Linked DNA regions of Pelodiscus sinensis. The protein of the gene in region 1 binds, or shares a complex with, the protein of each later gene. Links are inferred from orthologs where the notes say so. Each region holds a gene or a part of one and is shown on either strand. Other genes may lie near its edges.

What was found. The genes of interacting proteins can lie anywhere in the genome.
Region 2: FBXL13 (region 1) and DRC10 share a complex: the UniProt entries of both Homo sapiens proteins name them as parts of the nexin-dynein regulatory complex. The link is inferred for Pelodiscus sinensis from reciprocal best matches to the Homo sapiens genes FBXL13 and DRC10.
Region 3: FBXL13 (region 1) and DRC4 share a complex: the UniProt entries of both Homo sapiens proteins name them as parts of the nexin-dynein regulatory complex. The link is inferred for Pelodiscus sinensis from reciprocal best matches to the Homo sapiens genes FBXL13 and DRC4.

Annotation. Positions count from the first base shown.
Region 1 is NC_134711.1:23,449,211-23,452,952, forward strand, and holds the start of FBXL13 (F-box and leucine-rich repeat protein 13), read right to left. Parts: upstream 2,909-3,742; 5' UTR 2,613-2,908; coding exon 2,538-2,612; intron 1-2,537. UniProt on the Homo sapiens protein: Substrate-recognition component of the SCF (SKP1-CUL1-F-box protein)-type E3 ubiquitin ligase complex.
Region 2 is NC_134725.1:14,340,889-14,344,630, reverse strand, and holds the start of DRC10 (dynein regulatory complex protein 10), read right to left. Parts: upstream 2,527-3,742; 5' UTR 2,193-2,526; intron 2,174-2,192; exon of another isoform or gene 2,116-2,173; intron 2,064-2,115; exon of another isoform or gene 1,735-2,063; intron 1,595-1,734; 5' UTR 1,452-1,594; coding exon 738-1,451; intron 1-737. UniProt on the Homo sapiens protein: Component of the nexin-dynein regulatory complex (N-DRC), a key regulator of ciliary/flagellar motility which maintains the alignment and integrity of the distal axoneme and regulates microtubule sliding in motile axonemes.
Region 3 is NC_134722.1:2,207,331-2,211,072, forward strand, and holds the start of DRC4 (dynein regulatory complex subunit 4), read right to left. Parts: upstream 2,547-3,742; 5' UTR 2,477-2,546; coding exon 2,474-2,476; intron 1-2,473. UniProt on the Homo sapiens protein: Component of the nexin-dynein regulatory complex (N-DRC), a key regulator of ciliary/flagellar motility which maintains the alignment and integrity of the distal axoneme and regulates microtubule sliding in motile axonemes.

The sequences.
Region 1 (3,742 bases):
AAGTTCCTTATACCTCCTTTTTTGAAGTATAATGATCTTGCGCAAAAGGTTTTTTTTAATCACGTGATTAAAAAATGTAATAGCAATTAATCGCATAATTAATCATGTGCAATTCCCCTTTGAAACACCCTGGCGGTGTTTCAACGAGGCAGCGCTGCATGGAGCCCAGGATCAGCTGAAGTTCCCAGCTGACCCTGGGCTCCATGCAGTACTGCTCCTTGGAAGCGCCACCATGGCATTTCAAAAGGGCAGCACAAGGCTTTAAAGGGGCAGTGCATTAGGTACGCCAGCGGATTCCCCAGCTCTGCTTGCGCTGCTCCTTTGAAGAGGCAGTGCAGCATTAACGTCTGCGATTAACGCTTTAATTTTTTTAACGCGTTAAACCTGTCCTGTGGTAACCGCAGGCATTAACACAGGTCAATTGACAGCTCTAAATTATACTCCTACAACCGTACTATGGTACTGAGGCTTGGAGCAAGGTGCAGCATACAGTCCGTCCGTCCCCATCCCCTGCCATGCTTCTACCTCATGGCTGCAAGAACATGTTGCTGTTTCCAGGGAGTCACACAGAGCCAAGTAGGGAATAGGGATATAAAATCCCATATAAAGTTAATCAGATAAACATGTTTAACGAGATAACTGGGATCCCACGGTAGGGGGCCTGCCCAGGCAGGAGTGGCCCCCTACCTGTGTCACAGTAGACCCAGACAGAGGGTTGCTCCAACACATCTGAGCGCCCTGCACCATGGACTGTTCTGGCCAGGTCAGGTCCACACCGCACCACAGGCAGAGGGCTGCTCTGGTTGGGCCAAGCCTAGTGTACAGGGGCTGTGAAGCTGCTCCAGCCAGGCCAGGCCGCTGGTTAACCGGTTACCAAAAAGCATCACACATAAGACTGATGCTTGCTGGTTAACCGGGTACATCCCTATTGTGGAGGTTCTATAGTATGCATGTTGGGTGTGGCCTGTGGAGGACAAGCCCAAGAAGGTACAAGATTTAAAACCTCTGCTTTAGGGGACAGAGGGAAGGAGCAGCAGAAACGCTTATGCCTTTCCATCAATGAACCACTGTACAAGAAGCCACAAGCACCCTCTGGCATGGGACAGAAAACCGAGATAGTCAAACACAAGACTAATAGAACAGGATACCATACTCAAAGAGGCTCTGGGAGACAGACCCATAGTCTCCTATAGACAACCACCTAACCTCAAGAGGATTCTTACCAACCACCACAGGACATACCACACTAATACCAACCCTGGTACCTTCCCTTGCAACAAACCCCGTTGCCAGCTTTGTCCACATATTCATTCTGCTGATACCATTATTGGACCTAACCAAGTGAGTTATAAGATCAAGAACACATATTCCTGCGCATCCAGAAATATAATCTATGCTATCATGTGCCGAAAGTGTCCGTCTGCTATGTACATTGGACAAACATCTCAGACACTTCGCCAAAGGATTAATGCCCACAAAACAGATATCAGACAAGATCACAAAGAGAAAACAGTTTCTTGCCATTTTAACCAGAAAGGACACTCTCTCAATGACTTAACCACCTGCATTCTGCTACAAAGACCTTTTACATCTGCACTTGAAAGGGAATCCTCTGAACTGTCATTCATGTTAAAATTCGACACTTGCCAACAAGGACTTAACAAACATTTGAACTATCTCACCCATTACCAAGACAGTTTCCCCAATTATCACCTGTAATACCATTAACTCACAAACATCCCACTCTCCCTACCTCTAATATCATCAATTCACAGACACTTGCCTTCCTTCCTCCCCCCCCCCCCCGAATCCCCCTCCTGTCCTGCAATGTGATTTGTCCTTTTCATATTTGTTCTTTTTTTTTAATTGTATCCTTTGGTATATATGGTTGTGACTACTTTCTTCCACTATTTGATCTGAGGAAGTGGGTCTGGCCCACGAAAGCTCATCATCTAATAAACCATCTTGTTAGTCTTTAAAGTGCTACATTGTCCTGCATTTTGCTTCAACTACCCCAGACTAACACGGCTACATTTCTATCACTATTCTACAAGACGAATAGGCCTCGTCCACAGAGATTTGTGGAATGTGTAAGAATTGCTGTTCTTGAGCGTGTTTTTCAACCAGACTAGCTATAAAGAATCATCCCCTCCCGCCGAGGTAATTATACGGGCGCACTAGACCCACTGAAGTCAATGGGCGGAACAGCAAGAGATCCCACTGACTTAGCGGGCCCAGCATGGCAGCTTGGGGGAGGTGAAAAGGGGCCAGCCGCGCCTGGGCTTGCGCTCGTGGCGGGAACTTACTGTTCCAGGGCTCACAGGCGAGCTCGTCTCTTCCCGCCCACGCCGCAAGCCGCACACTCAGGGAGGTGGCGCCCAGGCGTCAGTCACACCCTGGGCCGGGCTGGGGGGGGGGGGGGGGGGGTTGGTGCTAACACGGACTCAGCCCCGCGTGGGTCGCAGCGCCGTTGCGAGCCCGGCTCCCTCCGCCCGCAGCTCAGCCGGGAGCTGGTGCGCCCAGGCGGGGCCTTTTACCTCGTAGACGTCGAGGAGGCTGTGGCGCTTGAAATAAGCCCTGAGTCCGGGGTCCGCGTCGCGCAGGGAGGACATGGCGGAGCCGGGCCTCTGGCGCTTCAGACCCAGCGCGGCGCTCCCAGTCGCCTAGCAACCCGAGGCCACAAGCCGCTCGCCCTCATTGGGCGCCTCAGCTCAGAGTGCGGAGGGGCTTTGGGGGAGGGGAGTGTCGCGTGCCGTCCCATCCCAACTTTGCACCACCCCCTGCACCGCCTCACCCCCCAAGTTCCACGCAGCCCCCTCCAACTCTGTACTGCCCTGCCCACCAGCCCCTGCTGCACCTATTGCCCTGGCCTCCAACCTTTTTGCACCCAAGATCACGTTTTAACTGTTAGGGCAAGCCAAGATCTACCCCAAGAGCCCCCCCCTTCCTCGAGTCCCCGCCCTCTCTGTTCCCCCTCCTTTATCACTTGCTGGCCACAGCCCTTGCTCACTCTCATTGGATTGAGACAGGAGGTGCGGGCTCTGGGGTGGGAATGAGGGATTTGGGTGTGAGAAGGGGTGAGAGGTGCAAGCTCTTGGAGGGAAATTAGGTGCAGGAGGAGGTGGAGAAGGGGATGCTGGCTCAGGGAGGGGGATCCAGGCTGGAGAGTGTTGGGGTCAGGTGGAGGGTTGAGGTGCTGAGCCAGCCACTGGCTTGTGGATGTGGGGTGCAGGAGTTTGGGTTGGGGTGTATGAGAGGCTCAGGGCAGAGGAGGTGTATGAGGGGCTCAGGGTTGGTGTGTGGGAGGGGTGCTATGATGTTGTGATGCTGTGGCCAGATAGGAGATTGTTGGCCAGGCTTCATTTTTAAATAAAATATGTCCAACACAAAAGGTTTCAACATTGTCTTTATTTATGGGAAGGGAGGGGAACCTTTTTGGGTCGGGGTAGGCCAGTGACCCAGAGAAAAAGCAGGGACCGTACAAGTGAGATGCAAAAAAACAACGCCTCCAAAAACCCTCAACCTCACTGATGTAGCCCCAACTGAGACACCTCACTCCCCTGGCATCCAGCCCCATGTGGGGAGGGAGGAGAGAAGGTAGGTCTGAGGTTCAAGGCCTCAGGCCAGATTAACTCTTCTGGGGTTCCAGGATTAGTGGATTTTTTGGTTCCCCCTAGGCTCTGGGGTGGGGATAAAAATGAGGGGTCCAATGTGTGGGATAGAGCTGCCTATCAGTGGGATA
Region 2 (3,742 bases), on another chromosome or scaffold:
AGGAAGTCCCAGATGGGGGGCAAATCCCCAGCTCACCCCTTTCACTTGCCTGGTAATTCTGTTTCTTTTCTATATGGTTTTATGAGAAGGCACATTCCATTTTCCTGGCACAATCAAACCCTTACCTTGCTTTTAGTCAGTAGTTCCCAATCTTTTTTATACTGTGGACCAGCAAACCCATTCACAAACTTTAGGCAGACTGTTAACATTTTATTTGCTTCCTTCTGCCACCGTCTCAGCCCAGTGCCGCAGCCAGCAGCAAGATCGGCCACACAGGTGGTGAGGGGGAGGCCAAGCCACCAACTTATCTGGGTGGGAGCGGGAGGAAGGCTCCTGCTACCACTTCTGTCACAGTGCAAAAATCAGTCTCTATGGGTGCTGGAGATAGTTGAGCCTCTGCAAACAGCCAGCTTCAGCTCTGGCAGCTGCTGTAGCCCAGCAGCCAGCACCGTGGACTGGCTGTTGGGAACCGCTGCTTTACGTTATGATAAGAGAAGGCTGTACACTGTATTTGGTAGCCCTAACTCTGTTTTGGAAAAGTTCTTGAACAAATAGACAGACATATTCTCTCAACTATATTGTAGATATAACTATTTCTAATTCAGAATGTGTATTAAGAAATATTTTAGTGACTTCCACTTTGAGAGGCAACAAACAGAATATAGTTTAGTTTACTGGCCTTTCCTACAATGACCTAGGTCTCTAGTTTGAAATGTTTAGTCTTACCACCACTGTACCTCATCATCTCGACTCTGGATTGCCATTGCAAGTTCTGCCTCTAATGCTGCAATAGTTTCACTGTTTTTCTTTTCCTGGAGGGAGATTTCTTCCATGAATTGAATCTTTTCTTGTTCTTCTAAGGGACTAGTCAGGAGTTTCTCAAATAAGAAACCCCGGAATTCTGACAACCTTTTGAGAAACATTTCAGATGATAAATCCCTAGCATAAGCCTCGTCTTTCACAGCTTGAGAAGCTATAGGGTCAGCCTGAAAGAGTCTCAGAATATTTCTTATAGAGCTTTTTACAGCTTGTTGATGCAATTGAAGACGGCGGTCAGTTCCTACAAGGTCCCCTCTTCCATCATCCTGCTTCAGGAAACCTTCTCTTTGAAGCTGGGTAAGTAAAGCTTCCATGTTGTTTGAAAGCCGCTCATGCTCCTTAAGGGTACCTATGAGCTCAGATCCCAGGATAGTGCTTAAATCACCCACACATTCAGTAATGTGAGAGATCAGACTGATCAGTTCTATCTTAAAGATGGTCTCATCCAAAACAGATATGATCCTCTTTGTCTCAACAGTGGTAAGTTTTGAACGAGCTGGATCCAAAAGCTTTAGTGGACTTGGTTTCATCACTGACTTTCTTGGAGTCTGACTGTATCCCATGGAGGGCCTGGTGGTTGATTCAGTTGCCTCATATGGCAACTGGAGCACGATAGCCACCTCTGTTGCCATATTCTCAGTCAAATATTTAAAAGTTCTAAGATGAAAGGGAGCAAAAATCTTCTATATGAATACAGTCACAGAGGACATCTTAATACACGTAGATTTAGATTCCCCTGCTGTTTTGCTGCATGCTCTTCTTTCACAACATTTACCTGAAAAAAAAAAGTTTGATTTTAGCATTAGCATCATGATATACCTTGGCCAAAATTGAGAATGTAAAATTATATGGGGTCTGTCTCTAAGTTTAAAAGCACATTCAGAATATTGGGTCCTTATGCCTATGACAGCCCACCCTCCTGTGCTGGAGGTGAAACTAATTCTAGTGGTTAGCCTCCAGTGCCTGAGACAGCTAATGAGCTGTTTGTTTCCTATGCTGAAAAGTGGAAGGAAAACTCTCCAGCCCTTGTGAGACTAGACTGAGATGGGGCAGGGATGCCCTGCTTTGGGGGGGAAGAGGGCTGGTTGCTCAGTCCCGTTGGAGGCTCCTAGGTCTCTGTGGCGGTGGGTTGAACAGGGGCTGGTCTATCAGAGCAGGTGGCCAGGTTGGTAAGGATGGGGGGGGGGGAGGTGGCCTGAGCGTGGGAATAGGGGAGCAAGCTCCCCGGTCTCCCTGGGTGGGCATGGGGGCAGGAGGCTGCCGGGGGTGCGGGCGAGGTCCCCCAACTCTCTTCACTTGCTCACACCACCGCCGCCGCCTCCCTTCCGGTCCTCTTCCAGCGTGTCTCTGTTGCTAGGTTACCCCTCGCTCACCTTTAACCCCAAACAAAGGAGGCGGGGATAGGTCCTGACTGATTTGCCCCCTCCCTCCATAGCCAATCGCCGCCCTTGTTCGGTAAGTTTAGCCCAGCCCCTTCCTTCTCCGTTGGAGGGCGGAGTCAGGGCAGAGACTTCGAGCCTTCTGTCCAATCCGAAACGGAAAATTTAGCCCTTCCTTTGATGGGCAAGACCAGAGTCCAATGGAAGGACAGAATGAAAGACACCCGGATGCCCCCCTTCCATGAGCCGCTGTTGCTAAAGAACGGAAGTAGGGCCGATTGGTCGGTCTCAGGCATGGGGCGGAGTCCTGAGGGAGACGGCCAATAGGCGGGGTGTGGACAATCGACGGCTGACTGAGGCGAGTTGTTGCAGCGACGGCGGGTTCGGGTCTGCTGTTGGTGCGGCCGGCGGGGGTCGCGCGGGCGGAGTGGAGAGTCCACGCGCACAGTGTGCCGAGGGGCGGGGCCGCTGCACGAGGAGCAGCCGGGGCCGGTGCGTGTCCCTGCGACCCTCCTGGGCAGAGAGCGAAGCTGAACCCCCCGGTGCGAGCGGGTCCCGGGGCCTTGCCCTGGCCCGGCGGCTGTCTGGCCCCGCCTCCCTGGGACTTGCCCCGCCTTCCCCGCGCAGGGCGAGGGGCCTGACTGGCGCCCCCCCGGTATCCGTAGGGCTCAGGAGTGCGGGTTTCGTGTGAGGCTCCTCCCCCCCGCCCCCGCGCTCCGCCCCCCGGGCAGGCTCCTCCCCCCCGCGCTCCGCCCCCCGGGCAGGCTCCTTTCCCCCCCCGCCCCCCCCGCGCTCCGCCCCCCCGGGCAGGCTCCTTCCCCCCCCCGCCCCCCCCCGCGCTCCGCCCCCCCGGGCAGGCTCCTCCCCCCCCGCCCCCGCGCTCCGCCCCCCCGGGCAGGCTCCTTCCCCCCCGCCCCCTCGCTCCGCCCCCCCGGGCAGGCTCCTTCCCCCCCCCCGCCCCCCCCGCGCTCCGCCCCCCCCGGGCAGGCTCCTTTCCCCCCCCCCCCCCGCGCTCCGCCCCCCCGGGCAGGCTCCTTTCCCCCCCCCCCGCGCTCCGCCCCCCCGGGCAGGCTCCTTTCCCCCCCCCCGCGCTCCGCCCCCCCGGGCAGGCTCCTTCCCCCCCCCCCAAATCTATCCCCAGGGCAGGCACTTTGAAAGAGAAACCATAGTGCTGGGTTTGAGGCCATGTGAGCCAGTGGTGCTTCGCTTCTCGCCTTCAGGCTAAGATCAGCCAACTGTATGCTAGGGACCTGCGCCTGCCTCTCTGGGGGTACTCCAGCACCCCTCAGGCGGGGGGGAGGTGCGGCTGAGGGGTGGCGGGATGCAGAGTGATGTGGTGGTGTCACCTTGTTGTCCCTCAGGAAAAATATATGTGGAGAGAGATGCGGCTTCTGCCTATTCTTTATTAACAAACATTGAGAAATGTACCCAGGACTATTTCTGTCCTAAATTAAACCATGAGTGGTGTAGCTATTGTGGTTGAGGCTAAGTTGGATCAAGTTTATTTATTTTTTAAATGGTGAGGGGTTGGTTGTAAACTAATG
Region 3 (3,742 bases), on another chromosome or scaffold:
TCCTGCTGCCCCCGGGCCACTCCGACCCCCCCCGAACCCCTCCTCCCGCTGCCCCCGGGCCCTTCCGACCCCCCCGAACCCCTCCTCCCTCTGCCCCCGGGCCCCTCCGACCCCCCCCCGAACCCCTCCTCCCGCTGCCCCCGGGCCCCTCCGACCCCCCCCGAACCCCTCCTCCCGCTGCCCCCGGGCCCCTCCGACCCCCCCGAACCCCTCCTCCCGCTGCCCCCGGGCCCCTCCGACCCCCCCCAAACCCCTCCTCCCGCTGCCCCCGGGCCCTTCCGACCCCCCTGAACTCCTCCTCCCGCTGCCCCCGGGCCACTCCGACCCCCCCCGAACCCCTCCTCCTGCTGCCCCCGGGCCCCTCCGACCCCCCCCCGAACCCCTCCTCCTGCTGCCCCCGGGCCCCTCTGACCCCCCCGAATCCCCCCTCCCGCTGCCCCCGGGCCCCTCCGACCCCCCCGAACCCCTCCTCCTGCTGCCCCCGGGCCCCTCCGACCCCCCCCGAACCCCTCCTCCCGCTGCCCCCGGGCCACTCCGACCCCCCCCGAATCCCCCCTCCCGCTGCCCCCGGGCCACTCCGACCCCCCCGAACCCCTCCTCCTGCTGCCCCCGGGCCACTCCGACCCCCCCCCGACCCCCTCCTCCTGCTGCTCCCGAGCCCCTCCGACCCCCCCCCGAATCCCCCCTCCCGCTGCCCCCGGGCCCCTCCGACCCCACCGAACCCCTCCTCCTGCTGCCCCCGGGCCACTCCGACCCCCCCCCGACCCCCTCCTCCTGCTGCTCCCGGGCCCCTCCGACCCCCCCGAACCCCTCCTCCCGCTGCCCCCGGGCCCCCCCGACCCCCCCCGAACCCCTCCTCCCGCTGCCCCCGGGCCCCTCCGACCCCCCCCGAACCCCTCCTCCCGCTGCCCCCGGGCCCCTCCGACCCCCCCCGAACCCCTCCTCCCGCTGCCCCCGGGCCCCCCCGACCCCCCCCGAACCCCTCCTCCCGCTGCCCCCGGGCCCCTCCGACCCCCCCCGAACCCCTCCTCCCGCTGCCCCCGGGCCCCTCCGACCCCCCCCGAACCCCTCCTCCTGCTGCCCCCGGGCCCCCCCGACCCCCCCGAACCCCTCCTCCTGCTGCCCCCGGGCCCCCCCGACCCCCCCCGAACCCCTCCTCCTGCTGCCCCCGGGCCCCCCCGACCCCCCCCGAACCCCTCCTCCCGCTGCCCCCGGGCCCCTCCGACCCCCCCCGAACCCCTCCTCCCGCTGCCCCCGGGCCCCTCCGACCCCCCCCGAACCCCTCCTCCCGCTGCCCCCGGGCCCCCCCGACCCCCCCCGAACCCCTCCTCCCGCTGCCCCCGGGCCCCTCCGACCCCCCCCGAACCCCTCCTCCCGCTGCCCCCGGGCCCCTCCGACCCCCCCCGAACCCCTCCTCCCGCTGCCCCCGGGCCCCCCCGACCCCCCCCGAACCCCTCCTCCCGCTGCCCCCGGGCCCCTCCGACCCCCCCCGAACCCCTCCTCCCGCTGCCCCCGGGCCCCTCCGACCCCCCCCGAACCCCTCCTCCTGCTGCCCCCGGGCCCCCCCGACCCCCCCGAACCCCTCCTCCTGCTGCCCCCGGGCCCCCCCGACCCCCCCCGAACCCCTCCTCCTGCTGCCCCCGGGCCCCCCCGACCCCCCCCGAACCCCTCCTCCCGCTGCCCCCGGGCCCCTCCGACCCCCCCCGAACCCCTCCTCCCGCTGCCCCCGGGCCCCTCCGACCCCCCCCGAACCCCTCCTCCCGCTGCCCCCGGGCCCCCCCGACCCCCCCCGAACCCCTCCTCCCGCTGCCCCCGGGCCCCTCCGACCCCCCCCGAACCCCTCCTCCCGCTGCCCCCGGGCCCCTCCGACCCCCCCCGAACCCCTCCTCCCGCTGCCCCCGGGCCCCTCCGACCCCCCCCGAACCCCTCCTCCTGCTGCCCCCGGGCCCCCCCGACCCCCCCGAACCCCTCCTCCTGCTGCCCCCGGGCCCCCCCGACCCCCCCCGAACCCCTCCTCCCGCTGCCCCCGGGCCCCCCGACCCCCCCGAACCCCTCCTCCCGCTGCCCCCGGGCCCCCCCGACCCCCCCCGAACCCCTCCTCCCGCTGCCCCCGGGCCCCCCCGACCCCCCCCGAACCCCTCCTCCTGCTGCCCCCGGGCCCCCCCGACCCCCCCGAACCCCTCCTCCCGCTGCCCCCGGGCCCCCCCGACCCCCCCCGAACCCCTCCTCCCGCTGCCCCCGGGCCCCTCCGACCCCCCCCGAACCCCTCCTCCTGCTGCCCCCGGGCCCCCCCGACCCCCCCCGAACCCCTCCTCCTGCTGCCCCCGGGCCCCTCCGACCCCCCCCGAACCCCTCCTCCTGCTGCCCCCGGGCCCCCCCGACCCCCCCCGAACCCCTCCTCCTGCTGCCCCCGGGCCCCCCCGACCCCCCCCCTCCTGCTGCCCCCGGGCCCCCCCGACCCCCCAGCCCTCACCATGGCTGCTGGGGCGCGGGCTCAGAGTCACCGCGTCTCTTGGCAACCGCCGGGCAAGTCTCGCGAGAGCTCCTGCCCATAGCAACGCGCGTCACCGCCCTGGCAACCGCCGGCAGCGCTACTCTAGGCCCTGAGCGCCGCTGGGCCGCTGGCCCCGCCCACCCCTGGCTCCGCCCCTGCCCGGGCGTCCCGCGGTGCAGCCCGTCTGCCCCCTCCCGGCCGCGTGCGGAACACGTCGCTCCACGTGCGCATGGGCAGCGCCAGGAGCAGCGGCCCAGCTGGGGCGGCCCCGCTCACGGGGGACGCTGGTGCCCGGCTCCCCGGCTCCAGGGGGAGGGGAAGGCCCCGTGGCCCGTCAGCCTTGCACCCGGCACGTTGGCCAAGCCCGAGTCTTCTCGGCATCCACTCGTGTGCTTTGCCCCTGGCCACACACCCCCAGGCTGCCATGCTCCGAGCGCCAGCCACAGCTTCCGTGGAGCAGGGCGCTCCAGCTGTGGCCTGCCTGGTGTGCCCCCCGTCCCCTGCTGCGCTGCAGTATCCCCCCACTCACCGTGCACAGCAAGCTGTGTGTGAGGCCCAGGGCTTCCTTGGCTCTTGCCAGCTGTGCCCCTCTGCTCCCCGGAGCACCACAAAGATGCACAGATGCTGAGGATGGGACTGATCAGGAAAATCACTCAGCCTTTGTACATGTTAGGGGGACAGGCCGAGGGCCCTCCAAACTCCGGGCCCTGTGGACTCACTGGGTCTCTTAGGGCTTCACTCTAGCTAGGGGCCTATACCAAGTTCCCAGATCTGCTCCCCAGATGTCCGTGAGGCATATTAAGGCTATAAGCATCTACTCAGGTGCATCACAGCCATGGGAGAAGCAGCTGGAGTCCAGCCTGCACTGTGCAGTGAGCCATCAGGCCAGGATGATCTAACAGCAGACTCCTCAGTCGGGGGAGGCAGAGGTGAATGGAACAGCTGGATTGTCAGGTCCCAGGGGGAGTTTGCAGTTAATTGACTTCCTCTTGACTTCAAAAGGGAACAGTGTGGGTCTGGAGATCATGGTGCGAACACATAACAACCCAAGATGCCAGTGCACAGGCATCTTTCTGGTGTAACCTTCACCCGATTCAGGGGATCCTGGTCTCAGTGCAGGGAGAGGCAGCATGCACTTTTGTGTGGCACTACACCCAAAAGCTGTCCATTAGTGTTCCTTGTAAGCTGAGCACTTGGGCAGCCACCCAGAAGAGATTAAAATGCCTTCTGGCTGATTAGCAAAGCACC